Canis lupus familiaris: one gene and its partner. The protein of the gene in region 2 purifies or fractionates together with the protein of the main gene of each other region. This does not show direct contact. Links are inferred from orthologs where the notes say so. Each region holds a gene or a part of one and is shown on either strand. Other genes may lie near its edges.

Evidence for each region. The genes of interacting proteins can lie anywhere in the genome.
Region 1: the proteins of PRPF19 (region 2) and U2AF2 purify together in Homo sapiens (affinity purification with western blotting; 3 studies listed by BioGRID, with this or other methods). This does not show direct contact. The link is inferred for Canis lupus familiaris from reciprocal best matches to the Homo sapiens genes PRPF19 and U2AF2.

The regions. Positions count from the first base shown.
Region 1 is NC_049222.1:102,847,120-102,850,893, forward strand, and holds part of U2AF2 (splicing factor U2AF 65 kDa subunit), read right to left. Parts: intron 3,656-3,774; coding exon 3,517-3,655; intron 1-3,516. UniProt on the Homo sapiens protein: Plays a role in pre-mRNA splicing and 3'-end processing. By recruiting PRPF19 and the PRP19C/Prp19 complex/NTC/Nineteen complex to the RNA polymerase II C-terminal domain (CTD), and thereby pre-mRNA, may couple transcription to splicing.
Region 2 is NC_049239.1:55,998,133-56,002,664, reverse strand, and holds the start of PRPF19 (pre-mRNA-processing factor 19), read right to left. Parts: upstream 2,967-4,532; 5' UTR 2,952-2,966; coding exon 2,879-2,951; intron 2,338-2,878; coding exon 2,188-2,337; intron 2,003-2,187; coding exon 1,926-2,002; intron 1,151-1,925; coding exon 1,009-1,150; intron 926-1,008; coding exon 852-925; intron 731-851; coding exon 668-730; intron 1-667. UniProt on the Homo sapiens protein: Ubiquitin-protein ligase which is a core component of several complexes mainly involved pre-mRNA splicing and DNA repair. Required for pre-mRNA splicing as component of the spliceosome.

The sequences.
Region 1 (3,774 bases), on a different chromosome or scaffold from region 2:
GGGATCGGGTCCCACATTGGGCTCCCTGCATGGAGCCTGCTTCCTCTGCCTGTGTGTCTGCCTCTATCTATGTCTCATGAATAAATAAATAAAATCTTAAGAAAAAAAAAAAAAGGATGGACAGGCTCCTCCTCCCTGACCACACATCCACTCCTTCAGAGGGTCCACCTGGCACACACCTCCTCTCTGAAGGCCACACTAGACCCCCAAAGGCTGAGCAATCTTTCCCTGTGCCTAGAATACCACTTTCTCCTACCATGCACTCACCACCAGACCAGGCAGAATAGGACTCTGCCAAGGGAGTGGGTATAAGGGAGTGGGTACATGGGGGTGAGGCCCCAGTGGCAGGAGCCTGATGAGGGGGCGGGGGGGGGGGGGGGATTAGGACTCGGCCCTGCACGGGGAAGGGAGCCTGGCATGGCAGTGGGCGGGTGCTCACAGCTGAGCTGAACTCACACTGAATAACTACTGGGCTCCCCTGCTTCCAAAGACAGCTCTGGCCCACCCCCCACCTCAGTCTCCCTCTTGTCTTCAAAGAACCACCAGGATCCTGTCACCAGCACTCAACAGCAAGGCCTGACTTCAGGGGCAGATGAACTCAAGATTTCACAACCCCAAGTGATGCATGTTTAATCAACACATTTCCATCAAGGTCAGAAAGTTGCCTTCCAGGTTCCTGAACTGTTTCTCTTCCAGCCAAGAACATCTGCTAAATTTTATCACACATGCTTTCCTCTTTAGCCTCCTTGTATAATAAAATTGTTTTTTTTTTTAAACCAAAAAATGAAGACTGAAATATGAACTTCGCTATGAAAAGGTAACTAGAAGATGCTCAATCTACAAGCACAATCACACTTCCTGCCACCTGCCCAGGCACTAGTACTGCAGACCCTCAGGTCCCTCTGGGTGAGCAAATCCCAAAGAACAGAGATGGATGATGACCCACGCTTCAGCTGCTTAGTCACGCCAATAGTTACGTCTAGAAAGGGGCCCATGAATCTGGGAAGACGATCCAATACAAGCTATCCCTGACCCGCGAGGTCTCTGTTCCCACACGGTAAAGGGCCTGTGTCAGAAGGTGCTATGGAAGACCGCACAGCACCAACTCTAGAGACCATTATCATGCCTTGCCTTGCTCTCCTCCGGTCTGAAACAGGATCGCGGTACACACAACAGTGGCTGGCAAGCCTCTCACCAAAGAGCTGGGTGGCAAACATTTTCAGTTTGTGGGCCACGGGGTCTCTCATCCAAACTGACCGCTGCTGCAGAAAAGTCATACAGACGCTAGACAACGAGTGGACTCGGCTCTGTGCCAGTTAATCTTTATTTAAAAAAATGGGCAAGGGGCACCTGGCTGGCTCAGAAGGTGGAGCACATGCCTTTTGCTGAAGTACATGGAGTACAGTGAGTACATGAGTACACACCGGACGCAGAGCCCACTTTAGGAAAACAGGCTTACTGGTAAGCTACATTTGACCCCTAGCTGTCAGTTGCAGACTTTGTACTACACAGCTGTCACAAAAACTAACCTGATCCATGGACCCCACTCGGCAAAGTGCCTGACATAGTAAGCTTCGACAAGTAAGCAGGCTCCTTATATAATTAAAAACATCTTAAGAAGGGATCCCTGGGTGGCTCAGCAGTTTGGCGCCTGCCTTTGGCCCAGGGCACAATCCTGGAGTCCCGGGATCGAGTCCCATGTCAGGCTCCCGGCATGGAGCCTGCTTTTCCCTCCTCCTGTGTCTCTGCCTCTTTCTCTATCACAAATAAAAATAAATAAATAAATCTTTAAAAAAAAAAAAAAAAAATCTTAACACCTGGGTGGGGGCAGCCCTTGGTGGCGCAGAGGTTTAGCGCTGCCTGCAGCCTGGGGTGTGATCCTGGGGACCCTGGATCGAGTCCCACATCAGGCTCCCTGCATGGAGCCTGCTTCTCCCTCTCCCTGTGCCTCTGCCCCTCTCACTGTGTCTCTATGAATAAATAAATAAAATCTTTATAAAAAGAAAAAAAAAAAAAGAACACCTGGGTGGCTCAGTGATTGAGCATCCACCTTCAGCTCAAGTCGTGATCCCAGGGTCCTGGGAGTGAGTCTCAGGGAGGTTGCTTCTCCCTCTGCCTGTCTCTACCACTCTCCCTCTCTCATGAATAAATGAATAAAACCCTTAAAAAAATAAACCTTAAAACACTAAATTTATTTTGCACAGGGGCGCCTGGCTGACTCCCATCAGTTAGGTACCAACTCTTGATTCTGGCTCAGGTGTCATGATCTTGCAGTTGTGGGACCGAGCCCACAGTCAGGCTCTGCCCTCAGTGTGGAGTCTGCTCCAGATTTCGCCCCACATCCAACCCCACCTGCGCACATGTGCACGCTTTCTCTAAAGTAAACTCTTAAAAAGAGATTCACTTTAATACAAAGCAACGGCCTATAACTTCATCTAGAAATGCTCTCACAGACGTGCACCCACACAGAAATCATCTGATCAAACACTTAGTACATGTCAACATCGAAAAATACGCCTCAGTTACCGGAAACATTAGATCCACCAAACTTACCAAATTTATTACGGTGGAAAACACTGGAAACAAGGCAGGGAACCAGCACCCAGTCCTGAGGTGTCACCCTCTCTGGGACTCCATGTCCCCCGCTTTGTCAGCAGTGGACTCGATTTCTAAAAGGTGTCCTTCAGGGCGAAGCCTCAGCCAGCAGAAACCCACCTTCTGCTCCTCCCCCCCACCCCCTGGCCCAGACCATCCATGCCTACCACCTTTACTGGGAGAACACCAGGGACCTAAGATCCAGGCCCCCCAGTTCCACCACAGCACTGGCTTCTCCAAGCCCACTTTGCTCCCTGCACTCCAACAGGGCCTCCCAGAGGCACAAATCCTCACTTTCACCCATCTCACCACAGGGGACGGCAACCAGCCTGTAAGTCGAGTTAAGCCGGCTGTCTTTTTGTATAGCCTGCAAGGTTTTTTAGAAGCTATTGCACAACGTGTGGGTAATATACCAGGGCCACACCCACTCATTCAGCTATCACGAGGCGGCATACAGGTTGCCACGTCACAACAGAACAATTGTGACCCAGGTGACCCAGTCGGTATGGCCCACAAAACCAAAGATATTTACTATCTGACCCTTTTCAGGAAAAGATCACCGATTCCAGTCTGCTATGATCTCCACTGACCCAGACTACTACTAAACGTGGCTGTGGGGAATAGCCCAAAGCACAGAAGTCAGGAGAAACAGAGGCCAGACAAGGGAACGTCCAGCAGCCGACCCCACACTGAGAAACTGCTTGTGTTCACACTATGAGCTCACACGCTTATGCTCACAAAGTCCCAGAGCCAGAGCAGGAATGACAGCCAGGCAGCAAACCCTTCACCTCCCTCAACACCTCCCACAGCCACTGTGCATTCTCCTAAGGTTTGGGGAGATGGATGAGAAGCATTCATGCCATCTCCCAAGTAGCTCCAGCGGGGCTGGAGAGGGAAGCGTGGGACAAGGCCCCCACTCACCAGGGACGTAGACAGAGGGGTTCTCCGACATGCCAGGCAGGGGTTGGTAGTCATGAGGCCTACGGATCTTCAGCGACTGGCCCTGGAAGATGATGCCATCAAAGGCCATGGCCTGGGTGGTCTCATCCACTGAGCGGAACTGAAAGAGAAGGTGGTGGTACAGTGATGAGGATCAGGGTGCCGGGTGTACCACAGCCTGCAGAAGGGCCCTGGGCAGATCAAGGCTGCTGCAGAGAAAGAACACACACCTTCTGACCC
Region 2 (4,532 bases):
CAGGGGAGTGAAGTCACTGGCCCAAGGCCTCAGACGTGACAAACAGCACAGTGAGCACTTCAAGTAGCACTGTGGTGCTACCAGACCAAGTCTATACCACCAAGAGAGAGGAGATGCAGTCAGAGTATGGACCGGACACAAGTTCTGTGAGCACAACACAGCACTGGCCCTGATATCTGGCCTGCTCTGCCTTCTGTGACCTGTACCTTTGAATCTGTCAAAGGTGTCAGTTCTTTATCTGTAAACTAAAGATGGTAATTCACCTTCTGTCTCCATCAGAGAAAAAAAAATGTGAAAATGTAACCAGTGTTTTATGATATGCAAAGAACCCCAATACCCCGCTAACAGTAAGAGCTACAAGTTGCACTTATCGGTAATTACAATCTTTTAAATTCCCATAGATCTACAAAGCAGACACTGTTTTTCTCAATGTAAAAAAAAAAAAAGGAAAATGAGATACAGACTTGGTTAAGTCAGCCCAAGGTCATAAAGCTTCTAAGCAGTGATACAGAGGCATGAACTTGGGCAGTGTGGCCTGAGTCTGTGCGCTGCACTGGTCTGCTGGGAGTCCCACATGGGTGGGATTTCTATTCATACTGGATTCAAGGCAGATGGTGAGACATGAGGGCCCACCAGCATTCCCACCAAGTGACTTCCCACAACTTACCTTCTGGATAATCTCGGGGGTCATTCCCACCAGCTCACCCAAATCCATCGGCTCACCTGCACCCTGAAGACAAGAAGGTTAAAGGTGAGGGAGGCACAGAACACCCAGGACACTTGCAGGAGAGCCACATGAGACATTGCACACAGGGGCTGCAAGACAGGCAGGAAGGGGGAGGTGCACTCACTGCAACACTTGGCTGTGAGCTCGGCACAGCCTGGGGCACGATGAGTCCAGCCTGTGGTTTCAGGGTGGCCAGAGCTGAGAGAAAAGAATACATTAAAAATGGGGTATTACAAAGCAGGACCAGCCCAGAGTGGGGGATGTTGGGGCATAGGTGGCACCTTCTCGGGCGGCTGTAACTTCCTTAGTGAGCCGGGCAATAACACGGCAGGCAGCATCATGCTGGTACAGAGCGTGGGACAGCTCTTGACGGGTTGTCTGCAGCTGCTGGCGCAGAGTGAAGCTGTGCAGCATGACTGCATCCTGAAGAAGGGAAACGCCACTGTGAGGGGGTGAGGAGGAGCAGGGAACACCCAGCAGAAGAGTCAGCCCTTGATCAAGAGATGAAGAGGACACTGCCCTGTATTCCCACAGCCTAGACCAGTACTGGTAACCCAAACAACACGTGAGGGACCATGAATGTGCTGGTGGCCACTCTGGAGCTGCTACCTCATACCAAATACTGGGCACAGACAGGAGTGGGAGCCAGCTCTTTCCCACCCTCATCGCCTCTGATTTATAGGCAAATCTCGACGTCATTCCGTCACCTCCCCACAAGGGAATCATAACACTAAGGCTGCCATTAATCAACTGCCCTCACTGTGCCGGGTACTGTGCGAGACGACCACTCAAGATGTAGTCACTCATTCGTCTTCCAGAGCACCACTACATACCAGGTGCTACCCTTGGTGCTGGGGATATACCAATTAATAAATCAAATCCCTGATGTCGCAAGGTTTATACTCTACCTTTATTCTAATTCTGTCCACACCCTGAGAGACTGGCACAAATCCTTGTCGTAGAGTCAGGAAAACCAGGACTCACATATGAGCAATATGCCCAAGGGTATGTGGCAAGGGAGCAAGGGAGCTAACTGTGGAACCCAGATCCGTGGGACTTCAACAACCAGGCTCCTCCTCCACTATCATCCTGCCCCTCAAAAAAGAAAATAATACTCCGTCTTTCCCCACCCCAAGTCCTAGTGCAGTGATCCCTTCTCTTCAAGCAGACAAACATCAGTTCTGTTCCAGGGACTCACCCACTCATCCTGCAAAGCTTTCAGAATGGCTGGGATGCTGGTTGCAGAGGGAGGCTTGGGCCGGATTGGGTGAGCAACTGCCAAGAGAGGGAGAGCGGGTATGAAGAACTCTAACCCGGGGACTCCTCATGTCCCCCATCTCTTTCCCCTTTAGCCTACATTAACAGAACACCGTCTCCTCCTCCAGTGCACTGGTGCCACCTCCCAGCCTCTCAAGCTCTGAGCAAAAACAGCCCTGGATGGAGGCCAGCCACCAAGGCACCTTTGATATCGATGAGCTGCTCCTCAGACAGAGGCTGGTTGTTGATGGGGTCTGTGCCATTCTCCGCAATATACTTCTCAATGAGCCGCCGCTCATACACATGATTAGAGACAGGGGACACACACGGGTGCTCTGGCACTTCATTGGAGACTGTGGAGAAAAGGCAGGCGGTGAGCGCGGGGCGGTGAAAGGGACCCTGGGGCAAGGCGATGCCTCACAGGCTACTGGCCCCAACAAAACCACACGTCCCCACTTTCAACTAACAGAAAGCAGGACACGACACTACTTTTGTAGTATCCCCAGCATCCTTTCAGCTACATAACTAGCTTCTCCATCATTCTCCTGGCAGGTAGTCAACCAACAATTAGCACACAACTGCCACATGCCACACATCTACGGAGTGGTCAATCATCAATCCCCACCCGTCTCCGTTTGGAAAAAGATGCCCAGGCACCCATCATACTGGAAGACACAGAGATACACACGGCTACTCAAATCTCAGTCTAGAGCCAAGATGGATTTTGGACCAAAAAAAAAAAAAAAAAAATCACAAAGCTCTCTGACGAGTGTTACATTAAGAAGAAACACTTATATGGTGTATCAGGTGCCGAGCATGATCGTAAACATTTTCTATAGATGGGCTCATCCTCACAGCAACCCCCGAACACACCTGCCTCAGTAGACTACACACCTCTGAGGACAGGGATTACAGCTGGTCTGACTTCCAGCGCGATGCAGATGCCCAGCAGGCACCCGGTACACATCCAACGAAACCATCAAATAAAAGGAAGAATGGTGCTGGGAATATGGGGGGGGGGGGGAGGGGGGGAGCGGGGAAAAACAAAAACAAAACAAAAACAAAACAAAAAAACTTCCTCGAGATGGAAAGCAAACAACGAACGTGAAATATCTTGCAAAAGCTGCAGTTTCTTCGCTATGAAAGATTCCTTTTTCCTGGCCCTCATTTCCCTTCCTTCCCGTCTCCCTCCGTTTGGATTCCCGGAGAGGTTCTGAGGAGAGGAGAGAGCTCAGGGCTTGCGAGTTCGGAAGCACATCCGAGAGGGATGCTCTAGCAGCCTGAGGACACGGGAAAACACCTGCGCGCCGCGTCAAAGTGCCGAAAGGGAAGACGGTACAAGGCAGGAAAAACAAAAAAAAACAAAAAAAACAAAAAAAAAACCCAAAACGCCACGGCTCCTCCGGGGCTCAAAGCGGCCCCCACCCGGCTGTGCCACACTCTCCTCCAGCCTCAGGCCCTCATCTGCACACCCCGTCCTTCATTTCTGCTCTGGAGAAGGCTTGCGAGGGATGCACCGAGGTCGGGCCCGGCGCGGCGGCCAAGGGCTCAGCGAAGGCGCCCTGTGGTGTGGTCGTGCCCCGGGCTCCAGCCCCGCCACTGCCTCTGACGCGCGGCGTGACCTTCGCAAGCTGCAGAGGCTCTGCCCGCCCGAACGGGCCCGCACACGCCCGCCGCAACGCCCCCTCTCTGCAGACGGGGAAACTGAGGCGCAGAGCCCGCGTCCGACCGCAAAGCCGGGGGGAGGGGCGGGGGGAGGGGCGGGGTCTCCCGCACCGGCTCCCCCCGTCCAGGCCCCGGCTCAAGGCGCGAGCGAGGTCCTCGGCCTCGGTGACGTCTGCGACCATAAACCTGAGGCGCCGCGTCAACCGTGAGGCGCTGCGCGAACGCATCCCACGCCGCGGAGGAGGAGGCCCCGCGCTGACAGGCCGCCGCCCTGCCCCTCAGGGGGCCCCGCGGGCGCCTCCTCCCGCTCCGACCCGCGACCCGCCGCAGCCCACACTCACTCGAGCAGATCAGGGACATGGCGCCGCCGCAGCGCTCCGAGGCGCCTCACGCCGGCCTCGGGGCCTCGCTTCCGCGCCGCCGCGGGCCGCTTCCGGTTCCCCGCTGCTTCCGGGACGCTCCGCGGCGAGCGGCGAGCGGGGGGCGGGGGGCGGGGGGCGACCCCGCAGAGCGACGCTCGCGCAGCGCTTCACGTGGGAGTGCGGTCGGCGGCGCGCCTCAGCCTCCGGCACCTATAACGGAAACTGCCCTTTCCCAGAATGCAACCGGGCAGGAAAGGGCCCGCCAGGGAGCCTTCGGCCATTTCCGGACCGACTCGGCGCCGTCCGTAAAGCGCTCCCGGGGGCGGGCGCCGAGGAGTTTCCAAACTACATTTCCCATGATGCAGCGCAATTTAAAGCCAACGTACGGAGCGACGTTTTCTTGAGACCCGTGCTGCGCTGCGCGCTGCTCGCTGCTCGTGGGACCCTCCTGCAGACCTTGCAGGGTATGAGAACCTCCTAACGAACTTGTTAAAGTGCGTCTTCCTGGGAGTCTGCGTTTC